Arabidopsis thaliana: one gene and its partners. The protein of the gene in region 1 interacts with the protein of each later gene in a biochemical or structural test. Each region holds a gene or a part of one and is shown on either strand. Other genes may lie near its edges.

The links.
Region 2: of the proteins of CKA1 (region 1) and LHY, one has a biochemical effect on the other in vitro, tested with the Arabidopsis thaliana proteins (one study listed by BioGRID).
Region 3: the proteins of CKA1 (region 1) and CCA1 form a complex in vitro, tested with the Arabidopsis thaliana proteins (one study listed by BioGRID).

What each region holds. Positions count from the first base shown.
Region 1 is NC_003076.8:26,880,133-26,885,802, forward strand, and holds CKA1 (casein kinase alpha 1), read right to left. Parts: upstream 3,948-5,670; 5' UTR 3,252-3,947; coding exon 2,938-3,251; intron 2,658-2,937; coding exon 2,528-2,657; intron 2,457-2,527; coding exon 2,262-2,456; intron 2,181-2,261; coding exon 2,023-2,180; intron 1,936-2,022; coding exon 1,845-1,935; intron 1,742-1,844; coding exon 1,676-1,741; intron 1,595-1,675; coding exon 1,512-1,594; intron 1,396-1,511; coding exon 1,332-1,395; intron 1,247-1,331; coding exon 1,178-1,246; intron 1,084-1,177; coding exon 1,024-1,083; 3' UTR 834-1,023; downstream 1-833. Other genes in the region: AT5G67385 (Phototropic-responsive NPH3 family protein), read left to right, coding at 4,622-4,677, 4,781-4,850, 4,953-5,567. UniProt on the Arabidopsis thaliana protein: Casein kinases are operationally defined by their preferential utilization of acidic proteins such as caseins as substrates. Phosphorylates casein in vitro. The alpha chain contains the catalytic site.
Region 2 is NC_003070.9:32,770-39,550, forward strand, and holds LHY (Homeodomain-like superfamily protein), read right to left. Parts: upstream 4,989-6,781; 5' UTR 4,800-4,988; exon of another isoform or gene 4,630-4,799; 5' UTR 4,604-4,629; exon of another isoform or gene 4,435-4,603; 5' UTR 4,293-4,434; coding exon 4,254-4,292; intron 4,153-4,253; coding exon 4,041-4,152; intron 3,917-4,040; coding exon 3,855-3,916; intron 3,403-3,854; coding exon of another isoform or gene 3,321-3,402; intron 3,231-3,320; coding exon of another isoform or gene 3,195-3,230; coding exon 2,961-3,194; intron 2,879-2,960; coding exon 2,798-2,878; intron 2,706-2,797; coding exon 1,632-2,705; intron 1,559-1,631; coding exon 1,223-1,558; 3' UTR 1,212-1,222; exon of another isoform or gene 893-1,211; intron 821-892; 3' UTR 610-820; downstream 1-609. Other genes in the region: UMAMIT28 (nodulin MtN21 /EamA-like transporter family protein), read right to left, coding at 6,129-6,285, 6,367-6,518, 6,640-6,781. UniProt on the Arabidopsis thaliana protein: Transcription factor involved in the circadian clock. Binds to the promoter region of APRR1/TOC1 and TCP21/CHE to repress their transcription. Represses both CCA1 and itself.
Region 3 is NC_003071.7:19,243,751-19,249,654, reverse strand, and holds CCA1 (circadian clock associated 1), read right to left. Parts: upstream 4,065-5,904; 5' UTR 3,783-4,064; intron 3,699-3,782; 5' UTR 3,651-3,698; coding exon 3,612-3,650; intron 3,533-3,611; coding exon 3,421-3,532; intron 3,333-3,420; coding exon 3,271-3,332; exon of another isoform or gene 2,904-3,270; intron 2,793-2,903; coding exon 2,598-2,792; intron 2,511-2,597; coding exon 2,337-2,510; intron 2,254-2,336; coding exon 1,372-2,253; intron 1,301-1,371; coding exon 938-1,300; 3' UTR 740-937; downstream 1-739. Other genes in the region: DUF4 (hypothetical protein (DOMAIN OF UNKNOWN FUNCTION 724 4)), read left to right, coding at 1-464; PSI-P (photosystem I P subunit), read right to left, coding at 4,785-4,842, 4,940-4,977, 5,236-5,298, 5,384-5,470, 5,558-5,679, 5,770-5,904. UniProt on the Arabidopsis thaliana protein: Transcription factor involved in the circadian clock and in the phytochrome regulation. Binds to the promoter regions of APRR1/TOC1 and TCP21/CHE to repress their transcription. Binds to the promoter regions of CAB2A and CAB2B to promote their transcription.

The DNA of each region.
Region 1 (5,670 bases):
AGATTTGTGGCGCGTGGTGATAACTCGCTTATAGTGCAAGTGGTTATTTATTTTCCAATGAATAGTTAATTATTTACCATACAAATTGTCTTCTAATGTGGGCTTACTAATTACCTTACGGCCTTTTCGTTTTCAGGCCTAGGAAGTTAGGCCCATTTTACATATTTCTTGTCGTTTTCATTTTTAATGTTTTTCTGCTCATTCGTATTACTATCGCAATTTTTTTTAACACTAAAGTAACTAACAAATTCATCTTCGTCAACTAGACTAATTTTAGTTTTTAACAAACCACTTTAATTTTGATTGATTTTTTTTTCTCTTTATGAATTTGCAACATAATCAACATTTTTATTTCTTAACTAACTTTAATTTTCTTCACTCTTTATTTCTTAAAAGATATCGAATAAGTTTAGATACAAATTTATTTAAGTATCTTATTCGATATATTGTACAATGTCTTTGAAAAATAAAAAAAAGAATTCATTATGGCAACGAAAATATAAAACAAAGATTTCATTAACGAAAATACAAACCAAAGTTTTTATTTAATTAAGGTTTTAATTAACGTATTATTAAACATGGAAATTTATTTTCCAAAATTACTGGTACTTTAATGTAAAAGATTCTAATTTTATTTTAATAATGAAAAAATATTTTCTTATAAAATCATTTAAATATTCAAAAAATAGTTAAATAATATTAGTACGTTTTTTGTTTATTTTGGTAAAAACAATTGCGATAGTAGTAATACGAATGAGCAGAAAAACATTAAAAATAATTAAATAAAACTAGTACGTTTTTTTGTTTTATTGTAATTCTGTTTTTTTTTTTTTGGTTTGATACAACATACATGAAAAATATATTTAAAATATAAGACGTTTCAGACATTCGAATTCAGGACAAATTGTTTAATAAGTTGGACAGAAGAAACATCACCTTGATTTAAAAAAAATACTTTGAAGAAAAGATGAACATTACCATCATCATCATCAGTAAGTTTATAGACAGAGAGATCTCTGTGTTTCATTGACTTCTCATTCTGCTGGTTTCTGCTGCCCTAACTTGGGCGAAGTAAGCGTGCGCCTGTCAACAAATCAACAAACCATATTAATTTACCTAATATGTGATTTATATACAAATACAAAGGCTTCTAATTTGTTTTCTGAAGCATGCGTACCATGGCTTCTTTTGCAGTTAATCTGTCTTGATGATCATACCGAAGTAGCTTGTCGAGGAAATCAATCGCCTACACCGTTTTAAACAAAACCCTTAAGAACCCAACTAAACCATTTTCTATACAAGGAGTTAAGGACTCAAGGAAAGGAGTAAACCTCGGGTGAAACTAAGTGCTGATTGTCTGCGTTGATGAATTTGGACCAAGGTTTCCTGCTATGCCTGTAGGTTGTGTTCCATTGAACCAGAGAATGATACAACACTAATTCTCAGCTTCAGCTCATTACATGGCAATGCCAAGCTCGGAGATTACAATATAATGTTTAAGTTTCACATACCGCCCAACAAGTGCTTCCAGTTGTGGATCAAGTTCTAACTGGTACTTGTTCAGATAAGCATTCAATTCGTCAGTCCCAAGCACCTGGTGAATAAGAAGGAGAGTTCATGACGACAATGGAACGGAGATCTCCCATATTCTAATACTGAATTACAAGTAATATACCTTGGCGATTTTCACTAGCTGATCCTGGTTGTCATGGCCGTAGAAGAAAGGTTCCTTACGGAATATCTAATATGGGTAATGAGGAAAAATTAGGTCAAAATTAGATCACCACAAGTTCATTTCTCAGAAAAGAAAGGAAAGCCGTTCAAATGTTATATCATGAACTTACCATCCCTGCAAACATACAGCCAAGACTCCACATATCCAATGAATAGTCATAGTCTTGCAAGTCCACAAGAAGTTCAGGTCCCTTGAAATATCTGATACACATTAGGAGAGATAAACATTAGAGTGAAGCTAGGCAACAGCGAAAAAAATAAAATAAAGGGTATGAAGTAAAACCATACCTTGAGGCAACACGGACATTATACTCTTTTCCAGGGTGGTAAAACTCAGCAAGACCCCAATCTATAAGACGAAGCTTACGCAGCTCATGGTCAATCATAACATTATGAGGCTTGACGTCTCTGTGCATTATTCCTTGTGAATGGCAGAAGTCTAGTGCCTGCAACAAGTAGTCTTACCAAATGTGAGTATGAAGTCAAATGGAATACTTATATAATCCAACCAATACCAGAATTTATACCTTCAACAGCTCATAGATGTAGTAACGAATGTCGTAATCAGTCAACGTAGGATACAAAACTTTAAAGTCTGTGCTGTTAACATATTCAAATATCAAGCTTGGAGTTTTCGAATGTTGATCTCTAACAACATCAAGCAGCTTGACAATATTTGGCCCACCGCATAGGTTCTGAAGTATTTTAATCTCTCTTCTTATCTACGAAAAAAAGATCATAGAGAGATTCAAGAAACAACCCCAATCATCCAAAACAATGTAAAACAATTCACCTTCTTTTTCTTAACAGGTTTGAGGATTTTGATAATGCACTTCTCCTTGCTGTTCACATTTATACCCTCGAAAACTTCACTATATTTTCCACGCCCTACCTTCCTTACTACCTCATAATCATCTTGCTCCCTGAGAGAGCAAATAACAAGATCAAAATGTTAAACTAAAAAATCATTGCTTTACAATAGAAGAACTAAAAGGCAAAATAAGCACAACTAAAAAATCAAATTCATCAATAGAGATAAAAGTAAAGTTTTTTACATTAGCAGCATCAATTTGATTAGATTAGCTTCATCAAGAAGCAAATCCAGAGCAAGCTGAATTCAAATTCAATACAAACACTACAAAAATCGATTAAATTACTTTAGCAACTACCAATTCAGCTAATTCTAGGGTTTAACAATCTTACCCCCATTGAACAATGAGTGACTCGTAATCCCAATAATCCTTGGGTCGAATCACATTGACTTCGGTGTACACACGAGCTTTCGACATCGCCCGCGTCTGGTTAGAATCAGAGATCTCTACGAGAAAATCTGGATCGATCGTAGTACAACCGGAAACTTCCGAGACAGCTCTCGCTGTGGGAGTGACGATAGATGAGCGTAGGATAGGAGAGTGCGCCGTTGGCGCACGTAAGGCTAAGACGGCGCACAGTAACAAGAGACGTCGAAGAGGAGAATCGAAGAAGAGGAAGAACAAGAAGAAAAGCGTATCTATCATTCACTACGCTCTTCCGCACCAGATTAACTTTTTGTTTTCCTTTTTTCGTTTGCGTTATTTTTGCGCCAACTAAATTTGCCATAAAGGCCTGACATAGTATAATGGGCTTTATTTATGGCCCAATATATTTGGACCCAAATAGTCCACCCGCTTATATACATGTTAGGGTTCTTATTTTTGGGAAGCTTTTGAAATTTCGGATTTGCATTAAGCGAGGATTCGATCAGTGATAATGGAGCTAAGTCTCGAGAAAGTCTGCAATAATGGGCAAGTAAAAGGTGGAAACTTTCTATCTGTGTCCCCACGATTCATCAAGGAGGCTGCGACAAAGCCATTTAAAGATTGTTCAGACTCCTATCACTATCAATGGGTTCTCCGACAAATGTAACAGCTAATTGGTTGATACACGCGAAGATTACGCTATGGTTGTTTTAGGAGTTGAGGCATTTGATGGATGAAGAGGCTCAATGTATAGTGTGGAAGACTGCAAAAAGCTATTGATCTTGAAGGGGTTGAATTGGTTAACAATACTGATTTTTGATTCCAATGTTGAGAACTCGAGGGAAGATTCTGTCGTCTTTACTCATTTAGCTGACCAAGCCATGAAAAACAACTAGAGGTAAAAACTCAGATTCATGTATCATCCTCTGTTTTTATTGTTTGCAATTATTTGAAAATTTTGAATTTTTCGTTGAGGACGTCTTATATTATTCAAGAGACACAATTTATTGCAAGATTGAGTAGAGTCTCAATCAAAATGTTGAGGCATATAGTGACTTCAATTATCAGAAAAAAAGATGATAAGACTCTCTGTAGGGACAAATATCCCATCATTCATGTTCTGTCACAAAACCAAGATTCTGCAGCTTACTTATATACTCCTTCCTTCTCTTCTTCTTACCACTAAACCAATTTATAGCTAATATTTGTAAGGGATATATACATTTGTGGAGAGGAATCAATACTCTCTTTTTTATAATTTGGAATTATTAGTTTGGTACAAAGATGTGTGTCTGATCCACTTGGACTCTTCTCAATTTTTAAACCAATCCATTACCACACACACTCCCTCCTTAGACTGACTCCCTATCTTGTACTCTCCATTAGAATGACATAACTACCCTGTTCTGTCTTGTTCATTGCTTTTGGTGGTAAGGGTAGTTTATGGTTTTCTTTGTTTGGAGAATTTGAGTTCTCTTTTTCTGTTTGGTCACAATTATCAAAAGAGAGGAAGAAGCTCATTTTCTTGATCTTATTCTCTCTCTTTTAGTAGTACATTACGGCACGTCTTCTTCATGAGAAGGACTTGAAATAGTGTTCCATGGTGAATTTCTTGAGTGAAAAGAAACTGCGAGCTAAGTGTTCGTAATATGTCAGCAAAGAAGAAAGATCTTTTGTCCTCAGCTATGAAAAGAACCAGTGAATGGTTTTTTATTCTCTTCATAAGATTATTTTGTTTCTCAATCCATTTTTTGTTTCCAGTCCTGAAGTAGAAATCGTTTATAATACTCTTTATTACATCGTTTCAGGATTTCTTCTCAAGAAGTATCTAGTGATGTCACCGTTCATGTAGGAGAAGCTTCGTTTTCACTGCACAAGGTAGATTATAGATCTGTATTTAGCGATCAATCTCTCTGATGTAAAGCCAATGACATGATCACATTCGTGCCGATTCGGTTGTTTTCTCTCTGAATCTTGCAGTTTCCACTCATGTCAAAATGTGGGTTTATCAAGAAACTTGTGTCGGAATCAAGCAAAGATTCAGATTCCACTGTTATCAAGATACCAGATATTCCAGGAGGCTCTGAAGCATTTGAGCTAGCGGCTAAGTTCTGCTACGGCATTAACTTTGATATGAGCACAGAGAACATTGCCATGTTGCGATGTGCAGCGGAGTATCTAGAGATGACAGAGGAACACTCTGTGGAAAATCTCGTTGTAAGAGCCGAAGCTTACTTGAATGAAGTAGCTCTCAAGAGCTTATCGAGTTCGATCACAGTCTTGCACAAATCAGAGAAGTTGTTGCCCATTGCTGAAAGAGTCAAACTTGTAAGCCGTTGCATCGATGCAATTGCTTATATGACTTGTCAAGAGAGCCATTTTTGCAGTCCTTCTTCAAGTAATAGCGGTAACAATGAGGTTGTGGTTCAGCAGCAGAGCAAGCAGCCTGTTGTTGATTGGTGGGCTGAAGACTTAACGGTTCTTAGGATTGATTCGTTTCAACGTGTCCTGATCGCGATGATGGCTAGAGGGTTTAAGCAGTATGGACTTGGTCCAGTGCTTATGCTCTATGCTCAGAAATCTCTTCGAGGGTTGGTGAGTTTCTTACAAACACACATTACCATTTTGGTTGAGTCTCTTCTTTTGTTGAAGTTCCATAAACTAGGGACAAAGAATGATGGGTATCCGTTAAAAGTTT
Region 2 (6,781 bases), on another chromosome or scaffold:
AATGGAAAAAGCGAATCAAGACCCCACAAGGGAAAACAATCCTTAAAGCAGACTTGAGATCGATCATACCCAAATTATGGATTCATATATTGTTAACGTATCGATTACTGAAAAGATGTATACCAAATCTGTTCACTTTTTCTCTATAGACTCGATGGATGATTGAGATTTGAAGCAACAAAATACCCAGAAGATTAAACATGGAAAAGCATCAAACTTTGATGATCTTAGAACGATGACAAAAGAAAAAAAAACGTACCTTTGGATCGAAACGAAACAGCCGATTGTTGTTTTCTTTATCGCAAGGATGATGAAGAAACTTTGGGAGAGAAACAAGTGAAGCCCGTTGGTCTAGCAAGTGATTGTAAAATGTATATATGAGTCACCACCGAGATATACGGATCAAACTTTTATATTATCGTAACACTCACTACACTACCACTCAATTATTTACAAAGATTTACATCTTTTTAAAAATACTTTATTTTTTATTACGAAACATAGTTTGTGTTTTTGCGGTCACTCCTATAATCTATGTAGGATACTTGCATTACATTTTTCACAAATAATTTGGTTTGGTAGCAAGGATATGGCTCATTCAGTGAGAACAAAAAAATTGTATATCTACTCATTCATCAGTAAACCAAATTAAGAGATTGAAATATTGTATAAACTAGCTACACAATATAAGCCTTCTTTAGGCCTCTATTACTTAAGCTTGTAATAGGGAAAATGTTGTAATGTAGGCCCAAGTAGTGTGAGTAAAATCTTTAAGGCCCAGCCTAGCACCTTTGGGCATTTGGCGTTGGGCAACGAGCGCCTTCAAGTTTGAAACAAACAGAGAGAATCATTATGAAGAAACACCAAAAGACAAAACTTTCTAAGTTGTAACTTTTGTACAGTTCATCTTTTATCATTATAAACTATTTATGATCTCATCAATCAATATCCACAATTTTTAAAAAGAAGAATAAAGACAAATCCATTGCTTAATGGTTAATTAACAGTAGTAGCAGATGACATATAGACCACAAGTAGCATACACAAACAGAGACAAGAGACAAGACATGGGGTAATATGGTACAGAACCTGACATGACCAAAGAAATGTTCGGAAGGAAAATTAAAAGTCTCTTTCATAAAGATTGGAGAAGCAAACTACTAACACTAGATTTAAAGATATTGATAAAAATGTGGATGTTTTTTTTTTACCTCCAAGTCTGTCATGTAGAAGCTTCTCCTTCCAATCGAAGCCTTTTGCAGACTTTTTCATCACTTTGATTGTTTATGTTCCCAACTTGGCTCTCTTTCACTTCCATTGAACATCTCTTGTATGGCTTAAATCCTGTCTGTCTCGTTTTAAGACTCTTGCATGTTCCAACACCGATCATTACTACTCCTTCTTGGTCTGCAGCACAAGAATCCTGGCTTTTGAAATTAGGAGCCAATGGCATTGACGTGTCACTTTGTTTTCTATTCACATTCTCTGCCACTTGAGGAGGCGAAAAGCTTTGAGGCAATCTTTCTCTTGCAAAGAGAGCCTGAAACGCTATACGACCCTGAAAATATTTTGATAGTGTTAGTTCCCAGAAGAACTCTGCAATATCCATGAATCATTGGTTTTTGTTTTACCTCTTCGGAGACTTCCTTCCACGAATCAGTAGTTGCATTGTTGTTGCTGTTGTTGTCTCTCATTTTAATCTTACGGTTATTTAACTCAATAACATCTGGCTGATTCTCATCTGTCTCCTTCACATCCTCTTTATCTTTCTCCATTTTATCTAATGCATCAGTTTCTGCGTCACTCCCTGAAGGTGTATTTGAGCCACAGGATGAGCGGTCCACAAGATTTTTCTTCTGGGCAGTGTTTGAGTCATGCACAGCGGCAGTAACAACAACCTCCTCAATTTTATCATCATTGGTTTTTGAGTCGGCATTTAGCTTGGTTACTCCAGTCTCATCTGAATCATCAGATGATGAAGCTGGAGATTTCGAAGCCAAGTTTTGATCTTGCAGAGCTGTGTTTTGTTTCTCAAACGGTTGAGTATTTTCAACGGTATCCATTTCAGTCATTGCTGGAGTTGGAACTGCAACAGTTGAGAATGGAACACATGTTATTGGAGCTGGAGCGCATACAGGAAGAAGTCCATGAGAAGCCCACCAAGCAGTTGCAGCAGCTACTGTAGCAGCGGCAATGGCAGTTATACTTGGAGGAGAAGAGCTCATTGGGGTTGATGAATCACCAGAATTCCCGACACTCGCATAAGGCCAGACCGAAGCAGCGAATGTAGCTGCAGCATGAGCTGCAGGATTCTGTAGGAGAGTTGACATAATAAGATTGGAGAAAGTAGATGATATCTGGAGAAACGAACGGTAATCATCCTGTGAATGACAAGCTGGAAACGCTTGATGAGAAGCTGTAGTAGTAGCAGATGCTGTTGTAGCTTGAAGATTTGCGTGCCCGTGAGTTTCTTCTCTCATAGGATGAAACATGAAGTCTTGAGATACCATACCTGAGGGATGATTTTGAGGGCATTTTGCTATATTCCCGTTCACAATATCTGCGTGGAAATGCCAAGGGTAGTTTTGCATGCTGTGCACAGTAGTACCATCGTTACCATCTTTGTCTTTGTTCTTCTTGGGAACATCTTGAACCGCGTTGTCCACAGTTGAGGTCTTACTTGTTTCAATGTCGCCACTTACCTGCTAAAAATCAGAATGGAACAAATAATTTGTCATGCACTTGAAAGCATTCATCAGATTCTTCGACTACAATTTTGTAGCTTTCTTAGACTTACTTTCGTTGGTAAGGGATACTTGTTCACAGTAGAAACACCCGAGCAATTCTCATCTTGATTTTCTTTTCCAGTTGATGTTTTCTAACCAGAAAATAAAACATAAGAAGTCTATCACAAGACCACCAAAATGATAAAATGAAGAAGAGAAAGATCAGGAATAAACCTCAGAGAACGGCATTTTTTCCAAATCCAAGAACGCCTGATTCAACTGTGAAGAAGAGGCCGATGAAACAAGTTTTGCATCTTTTGCTGATGATACTTGAGAGGAAGATGTACCGTTGTTCCCAGGCTTTCGAGGATAAGGAGTATTGGGTTTTCGTTTAGGACGAGGAGGCGGAATTTCTATGTCCAAAGCTTGGCAAACAGGGATGCCTTTAACTTCAGCCTCTTTCTCCAACTGAAATGTGAACCAAAAACTGTGAGCTTTTCCAAACTGGAGATGGAAAAATGCAGCTCAGATGTGAAATCCTGAGATTCATGAAATTGACCACATCACCAAGGTTGAAAAAAGTCTTATACTGACCCGAATTTTTCGGGGTAGAGATGATAGAGTTACTTCATGTCCTGTCCTATAGGGCAAGGAGGTTTGGTTTCCATATGGATGGCTAAAAGAATTCATGCAATCCCATTATTTCATCGACTTTAGTGAATATGGGACAATTGTGTCATCCAAATGCAACGCTAGTTATGTTAATTTGGACCTATCTTATGGTCTCAGAGAAGAAAGCTCTCTGTAGAGTTTTTTCTAACAGTAAGTTTGGACAGACCAATCTAATGTTAAGTTTAGTTGAACAGAGTAAATGAAAAAGATAAAAAACGATCGAGATGCAATCCTCGGAACCAACCAACTCTACTTAGCAAAACACACTCTACTTAGACGCCTAATTTCTAGTTGAAGCAATTAGAGAAAAGGAAGAATAAGAAGAACCTTCTATCATCTTTTCCAGACAGTGACAGGCAACTTCTAAACATAGTCATAGATCGATATGAAAAAATGGTACCTTTACACAAGATAACGAAAGTGTTTTAAAAAGATCTGAAAGGATCATCAACTTACCTTTGTGAAGAACTTTTGTGCATGACTTCTGATCTGAACAGCAGTCTTTGTCCCAATATGTTCTGCACACAAAATGAAAAGAAAAGAAGGAATCTCCCAATCAAGAGGAGATAAAGACACTCCTAAACAAAGGAATATAAAATCTCAAAGAGTTCAAACTAAACATTCAAAAGATAAACTTTCGACCTTCAATTCGTTGCCAAGCTCTTCCATAAAGCCTCAAGGCTTCTAGAAACCTCTCATGCTCATCCTCAGTCCATCGCTCTCGCTGCTTTGTTATTGTATATGGCTTTCTTGCCTAAACATTTGAAAACCCAAAAGAAAATCAAATCTTCACACAACAACAGTCCAAATCTCTCAAACAAAAAAACACCAATCTTATTTCATTAGTAGTAGTACCTTAGCTAATAATTCTTCTCCAGATGTATTAGTATCCATAACAGGACCGGTGCAGCTATTCGCTGCTTCAAATCCTCTCTAACAAGTAAAGTATAAAAAAGAAACCATCTTTGATCTCCCCAAACATGAAAGTTTTCAAATTGCAAAGCCGTTGTGATAACCTCTTTAGATTCTAGAGAAACTGCAAAGGAGAAAGTACTTTATGAGAAATATTTATCCACAAACACTAAGATAAGAGTGATGAGCGAAATTCAAAAGAGAAATCTTTTCAAAGTCCACCGTGAAACAGTCGCTGCTTCTCCAGCAGAACTCAAAAGAATTCCCTTTATTATTATTCACAAAAGCCTCACCCAAACGAATCCACCGCAGCCAAAACCTTCACAAATCTTCATATCAGTAATCAATCACCAGATTCGTATCATTTATGCTAACTTTTAGAGCTAATAAGATTTAGTTAATCGCTTCTATAAGTTTCTCAGCAGCCAAACAGAGATCTTAGTATGTTATAGGAATCCTAGAAACTGCTCATAATGTAAACTGTTATACCCTTGAGAGTAGCCATGGAGGAGACAAGTATGCAATCTGACTTATCATCTCACCGGGAACTCCCCGGAGAAGTCATCGTTCCCGGAAATAATCAAATCGGAAGCAAAACAAAAAAAAATCTCTAAAAATAAATTTAAAAAACAGAGAGAAGAAGGAAGAAGATAACTGAAGAAGAAGAAGAAGAAGAAGAAGAAGAAGAAGAAGGAAGACTGTTTTAGGCTGAAGAAGACTGGAAGAAGAAGAAGAGAAGCCAGAAGCAATCTCAGCCACAACAATTTTTCCCCTAATTTTTGGAAAAATTTTAATTGAAAAGTTTATTTGAGGCTGGAACAGCACCAAGGGTATAAATGGAAAAAACAGAAGTCATCGCAGATCGACACGTGGTGATATTGTAGTGGCTGTCTACTGCACTTTTTGGTATATCTCAAGTTGCTTCTCTACGAGCCAGAAGCTTCAATGTGAAGCTCACGTAGGTAAAAGTGAGTGTGGTGGTCCACAATTGCTTACGTGTAAACGATTATTGGTACAAACTTGGACGACTAAACAAGTGGGTACGGTGCCAGCTGTGATGGTGTACTGCTACGTATTGGCTATGCTGGATCTGGGCTTGTAATAAGACATTGTATGGGCCTCACTTTTACGCCTATTCTATATAAATTTGCGTATTAACATAGTTGAATTAAACCCGACAAGCTTGGACTGCTCGGGGAACTTGCGTCTGTATAAAAATCTTCATCTTTTCATATAATATCATGCAATGCCTATACAAAATTTCAACAAATTATCATCGAGAACTTTGGTCAACTTGCTTATATAACATTTGTAGAAATTAAGGAACATTAATTACTCTTAAGTCTTAACCGAAGCATGTAGTATTTATTTATGGAATTCAGCAAACATCATTACACTCATTTTTTTAGATTCCAGCTTACAACTGTGTTTTGCTTAAAGCAGAAGCGTTTAACATAGTTATAGATACTCTAATGTTGGAGCAGAGCTTAGTTGCAATATTTTTTGAAGTTGACGGCCTCATCGGTCAGGAAGCCACTACAAAAGGTTACCGAGAACTTTGGTTAGTTCGGTTCGGTTCTAGGTTAACCAAAAAACAATAGACCAGTTTTTGTTACTAACCGAAGAACTGAACTACCCGAATCTAATTGAAATAACCGAAATTATTCCAAAATAACCAAACAAACCGGATTTAAATATTTCACAAATCTCTACGTTGATGTTTGGAATTATAAAATTTTATCTCTCATTACCTCTCCTTAAACATTAACTAGGACATAACAGTTATTTGAAACATACATTAACAACAATATAATTAAATTAAACGGGCGACTTAGAGTCGTTATCCTTATTAGGAGTAGTATATTGAGCTTCGTTATCCATTCCTGAAGACAATGCAGTTGATGATTCCGTTTCTTTGTTCTTCCCCCACAAGAACATGTAGAGACCCGTTATGGTCACTAGTGATCCAATCACACTGTAGACCAAAAGTTTTAATGTTGTAATTAGTGTTATGCCTAGACAAAATTAATTTGATAGAGATTATCGAAGAAGATACCTTCCAAGGTATAAAGGAGTGTGTAAAATGAGGAAATCAAATAGAGTAGCCGAAATGAGAGTAAGTGGGAAAAACGCCGATGCGAACACAGCTCCTAATTTTTTAATCCCCCATGTTGTTGCAACCGTCGTCATTGCTTGTCCTACCACTCCCTATAATATATGATAAAAAAAAACCACATAAAAAAACCCACATTAATATCTTAAGTTCTTACATACTAATCTTATAATTTTTAAAAAGTTAATTTATAAAGATATGATGTTTGTAACTTACAGCGTATATGATGACGGTGATAACGAATCTATCATCTATGATCCAATCATTAACGTCTCTGCTCTTGTAAAGGCTCAAGAGAGCACATTGAAATGCCGCGAAAATTGACATAAGACAAGTGCTCGAGTATTTGCAAGGGTAC
Region 3 (5,904 bases), on another chromosome or scaffold:
CTCCTACAGGAGGATCAGCTGGTGAGGAAATTGTTTTGCCTTTTACCAAGACTTTAGCTTCGTGGAAAGAGTTTGAGTCTGATGAGGTCTACAAAAGAACACCACAACGTCCTCACTTCCCATCATTGGCTTACACGCATCCAAGTTTTGGTGAACCGACTGCAGCCTATCTGACTGCAGCTTTTATCGATTGTGTAAAGACAGTAGATGGTATGTGTGAGGACACTCCAAAAAGTGAACTAGATGTCTACAGAGAGACATTTAAAATGTTCGAGGAGCAGGGTTTCGACGTTGCAGAACCTTTATCACAGGTCCTCACGCTGTTAGTTCTCCGCAAGATGAGACGTGAATCCCTCAGACAACAAAAAGGGATGGAGAAAGAGATGGCAGATGATTATAGCAAGCTGAAAAAGAGTCTGGTGAGGTGCAAAAGCAGCTTTGAAGACAAGGAGACGGCCAAATAAAAGATATGGGGTCATTTCATGGGTGTGGTTGGATTTATCCTTATAACTTCTGTTTTTATTTAATCCTTTTTTGTAACAACTCTGTTGTACTTGCTACTGCTTGCCTTTGGCTGCTTGCCTTTCTATTTATGTGATGACATAAGGAAGTAGAGTTTGCTTATTTGTGTGGTGCTTTTGTGCTTACTTATGAGTTATGAGACAACTTAAGGGTGATGGATGGGCTAAGATTACGTTTTGGAACTCTGTCGTTTGCATATATCAAGAACAAGAGCCCCTTGAGTGAAGTTCTTTCCAGGTTGGAAAAAAAAAGATTAAACAGTTTATGATTTGTTGAATAATACAGAGTCAAATGTTACAGGAAGACTATGGACAAGGAAACAAATACAAAGGCCTCAAAAGAAAAAGAAAATGTAGCAGTGGTCTTGAAAACTTAAAAACAGAGTACAAACAACAGATCAGATGAAAATAGAGTCTCATGTGGAAGCTTGAGTTTCCAACCGCATCCGTTTGGGATCTTTCTGTTCCACATGAATGATAGGATTGTTGTTGAGGATTCTACTTTCTTTGGCTTCCATGGAACATCTTTTGTATGGTTTAAAACCTGTTCTTCCTCTACTCATTAGCTTTGAAGCATCTAATCCGATTCCAAGAAATCCTGTGTTTCTCTTCTCCTCTTGATCATCAACTGGTGTTAACTGAGCTGTGAAGTTAAGATCAAGTGCCATTGGATATCTTTGTTCTTGTTGTTGTTGTTCTTCCTCTCTGTGTTCTTCTCGATATGTAAAACTTTGCGGCAATACCTCTCTGGAGAAGAGAGCTTGGAAGGCAATTCGACCCTGAATGTACAATATTTATATGAGAAAATGATTTGAAATAAAGGAAGTTGATCTTTAGTCCAAGTAAGTACCTCGTCAGACACAGACTTCCATGGATCGGTTATATTGGAGCTGATTCTACTGCGGCGTGCATTGGACTCTGAAGTTTGAGGTTTATTAGTGTCTTCATTCGTTTCTTTCACCTCACCATTGGTGCCATCCTCTTGCCTTTCTGATGCATCCGCCTCAACATCATCACTACTCGACGGAGTGTTTGAGCCACACGAGGACCGGTCAACTTGTTTTCTGTCTCCTGCTCCATCTGAACCCTTTGCATCACTCTCAGGTGTTGCAGAAGGCTGCTCATGACAAACTGGTTTACTCTTATTTTCAACATCCTCTGAGTCCAGTGAAGATCGAGCCTTTGATGCCTCGGAGTGTTCTTGCTCTCGGCTCTGCACAGAACCATGTTGTAAAGTGCTTGCTTTTGTGTACTCTACATCACATGATGGTCCAAAAGTAGATGGAGGATGACTAGTGAAACCACCTGAACTAAGAGGAGCACATAAAGGTAATAATCCATTGGCAGCCCACCAAGCACTAGCAGCTGCAACAGTGGCTGCGGCCATGGCAGCCAGATTCGGAGGTGAGTTCCCTGGAACAGGTGAGCCACCACTAGAATCGGGAGGCCAAAATGATGAGGCGAAAGTTGCGGCAGTATAAAGAGCCGGTGTTTGTAAAAGGGTTGACATTATATGATTAGGAAACGACTGATAATCTCCTGCAACTGTGTGGGGATGACTATCTGGCTCTGAAGGAGGATGTGATAGAGAACTTGTTATTGAGCTCCCCAATGGCACTAGCACAGGGATATGCATCGGATAAGTCTGAGGTCCTTGCTCATTACCGTTTTCCAGAGATTTTGCATTCAAATCTGAGTTTGACTCCTTTCTTACCCTGTTATTCTGACTTCCCTGTTATTCCCCCACGGTTTTAGTTTCATGAAAAGTACTAATCGTCTTAAAACCTCAAATAGCAATGAAAGATTGTTTTTTACCTCTTCCCGTGAAGGCAAGAACTCGCGGAAAGTGCTTGCGTTTGATGTCTCTATACAACTTTTATTCATGGAGGATGCAGCAGAGAGATACTGATGAGTGAAACAATCTGAACAGTTGTCTTCCTGCAGAGTTTTCTCTTCAGGCTTTGATTGTTGTCGATCTTCATTGGCCATCTATAAACGAAGCACACAATCTGTATTAATAACATGAGGAGCAATGTGACACACTGCAAAAAGATGCCATATGACCATGAAAATCACCTCAGGATGCGACACTTTTTCTGATCCAAGGGACTCTTTTCCATCATTCACACCCGTTTTTGACATAAGGATCGTTCCACTTCCCGTCTTTCGAGGATAAGGATTGTTTGGTTTACGCTTAGGCCGTGGAGGAGGAATAGCTATGTCTAGCGCTTGACCCATAGCTACACCTTTAGCTTCAGCCTCTTTCTCTACCTGAGAGAGATGAGAGTAGTTTTGTTACCCTCTAAACAAACGTAAACAAACAAAAATCTAATGACACTAACAAGTTTAAATGACAGAACTGGAAAATCAAAAATGGTTTACCTCTATGGCTTATCACAAGGAACATTCAAAAATTTCTAGCACTCAGCCCACTTTTGCCACTACCTCAGAATCGGTAAGAAGACACAAGTTTATCTGAAGAATCTAAAGAAACTAACATTCTTCTGAAGAATCTATGTACATGTTTGTGGATTAACAAGATATAGGCATAAACAAAAGAAAACGATTACATCTCGTCATTTCTCCAACTATTTTAAGACTTATTGCTCATTACTAAACTCTAAAAACGTAATCTATCTATCTCCTGACTAAGAAGCAAAAGAAGCAGAAAACTTGCCTGGCTTTCAATAAGTCTTAAGCATTAAGCCAATGAAGATGAGAACATCATTTCAAAATTAACCGATTTTACCTTGGAGAAAAATTTCTGAGCGTGACTTCTTATCTGGACAGCAGTTTTTGTTGCTACATGTTCTGTCCAAATGAAAAAAAGCAAATCAGTTTGAAGACAAACCTCTGCAAACACAAAAAATAAGACATATAAAGGGAAATAAAAATCAACCTTCAATCTTCTGCCATGCTCTACCATAAAGCCTCAAAGCTTCAATGAATCTATTATGTTCTTCCTCAGTCCACCTTTCACGTTGCTTTGTTATCGTATATGGCTTCCGAGTCTATATCAAGTTTCATTAAAATTCTCAATCTTTGACACCTAAAACAATCATCTTCCCCCTAAAATTTAGTTTAATTTACCTTAATAACCAGATCTTCTCCAGACGAATTTGTCTCCATCACTAAGCTCCTCTACACAACTTCAGATCTTCTCTTTACAAAATTCCACTAATCCACAAAACAAAAAACAATCAAGTCAAGTTATTCATCAAACAATAAGAAAGACCATGACAATAAATCAATCTTAAGTACCTTTAGAGAGATGATTCAATGAAAGAAACAAAATCAGCTTGGATTCGATAAAGATTCCATTTTTAATTCCAGATTTCGTTGGATAAGAAAACAGTAAGAAATCGAGAAGAAGAAGAAGAAGAAGTGATTTGCTTTTGATCAATGAAACAAAGAAAAGAGACCAGAAGCTACGGAAATGGAGAAATCTCAGCCACTATAATTATCTTTAACCTCAAACTTTTTAATTTATTTATTTCGAGGCTACAAAAGAAACTGCCATATGTCAACATACTAGTGGCTGAAGAGATGATTCAGCTTTTGTTCAAGTTACATTCTTGTCCATCTTAACATCAACTTGTTCACAACCTTCTTTGTATTCTAGGCCACGAGTTCCGGGACTACCTGAAAGGTTAAAAAGGTCAATTCGTTATAATATCTTGATCTAGTGGGACCTACTTAAGATCGTTAATCTCTCCCACCAGTTTGTCGACACGTGTCTGATACACTAGAAACATCAGTGGACCCGGGAATCTAGACGACTACTTCACCAACAATCGAACGCGCATTCTCGTGCGGTTCACTACACGCGCTATTCTCACACTCTAATGGACCTAAACTTATTTGGGCCATAGTTTTATATTGGGCTTATTTTTTTTAGACCCATAAGGTTTTGTTCTTTTAGCATAAGGCCCATATCGTTATTCAACAGTTCAGCATTAAGCTAAGCTAACCATGCATGAAGGGTAGAAGACTAAATGGGGACAAAGTTTGAAATTTTGGAAAATGAAACAAAACATCTCATATATAGTCTTGAGGAATTTACAACACTTTGACATAAATGGATGATACTTTGAGCTAAAAAAGACCAGAGACAGAGAGAGAGAAAGGATGAAAATTATTTAGTTACAAGAAGGAAAGATTGAAGGAAGGACGTGGCCTTTGTGTTAGATTCTTTTGATATCCTTCATTCCAATTCATGAATGGCCTCAAAAAGGCTCTTCTTCTTCTTCTTCCTCCTTTGATTCAGCTGCTCCCTAATATGTCTTTGTATGTGCTCTTGACCTTCTCAAACAAAGCCTCCCTGAAACAGATAACAAACAATTTCCTCGAGAATTTGAGTCTTCCATTCTCAGTATTACATGCAACCAAACACAGAGTTAAAGAGAGAATTGGTTAACCTGTCTGGTTTGAAGACCAGGTTCTTGTAAGTGAACCACTGCCATAGAAAAACCAAATGTTAATAAGGTCCATCACACAATTGAAACAAACTACACACGTCTTTTAAGATTGAAACACTAGCGAGAAGCAGCAATCAATTTCTGATATCATATCTCCATATGAATTGCAGATGTTCGGATTCTAAATTCAGAGAACTAATCCTAAATCCAAAAGTGAAGTGATGAATCATCTATATCCTCAAAACAGGTTCATGAGAGCTTTGGTTCAAGTGATACAAAGAGAAGAAGAAACTCACTCCTGTGTAACCGATGCCTACAAGTTCAAGAACACCAGGAACCAATGGAAGCCTATCGATTGCCTGTTTCACAATAACAAATTTTGGAATCAAATAAAGGAAATTTAACACTAGGGTTTTAAGAAGAAAGTAGTATTCTTCTACTCACCGAAATCATTCCAGCAGAACCCCAAAGAGCCACTACACCAGCAAAGGCAAGAGAACCAATAGCGTACTTGTCATCCACTTTCTCCCACTTCAATCCAAACAACCAAATTCAGTACATGTAACCCAGAAGCAAGAGGTAGAATCATCATTGTATAAATAAAGTAAGAGTATTTACAGCTTCTTGAGCAGTCTTGACGATTTCAGGTAACTCAGTAGTCTCAGCTTCGGTAGTAGTGGCAGGAGCTTCACCAACTTCAGTAGTAGCTCTCGTCACAACGTTCCTCACAATCTTCCGACCTAAAAACCAAAACCCATTTCGAAAGTTTGAAACTTTAAACTCGAAATTAAAAGTGAAAAGAAAAATCTTCAGATTTATGGAAAACGAACAGTAAGCAGTGGCTTTAGCGGCACGGGTATGAGACTGAATCGGAAGTGTGGGAAGTGAAATGCACGACGGAGAAGAGGCGGAGGCGGAGGCTAGTCGAGAAGGAGGAGCTCTTGAATCGATGATGGTTGAAGAGG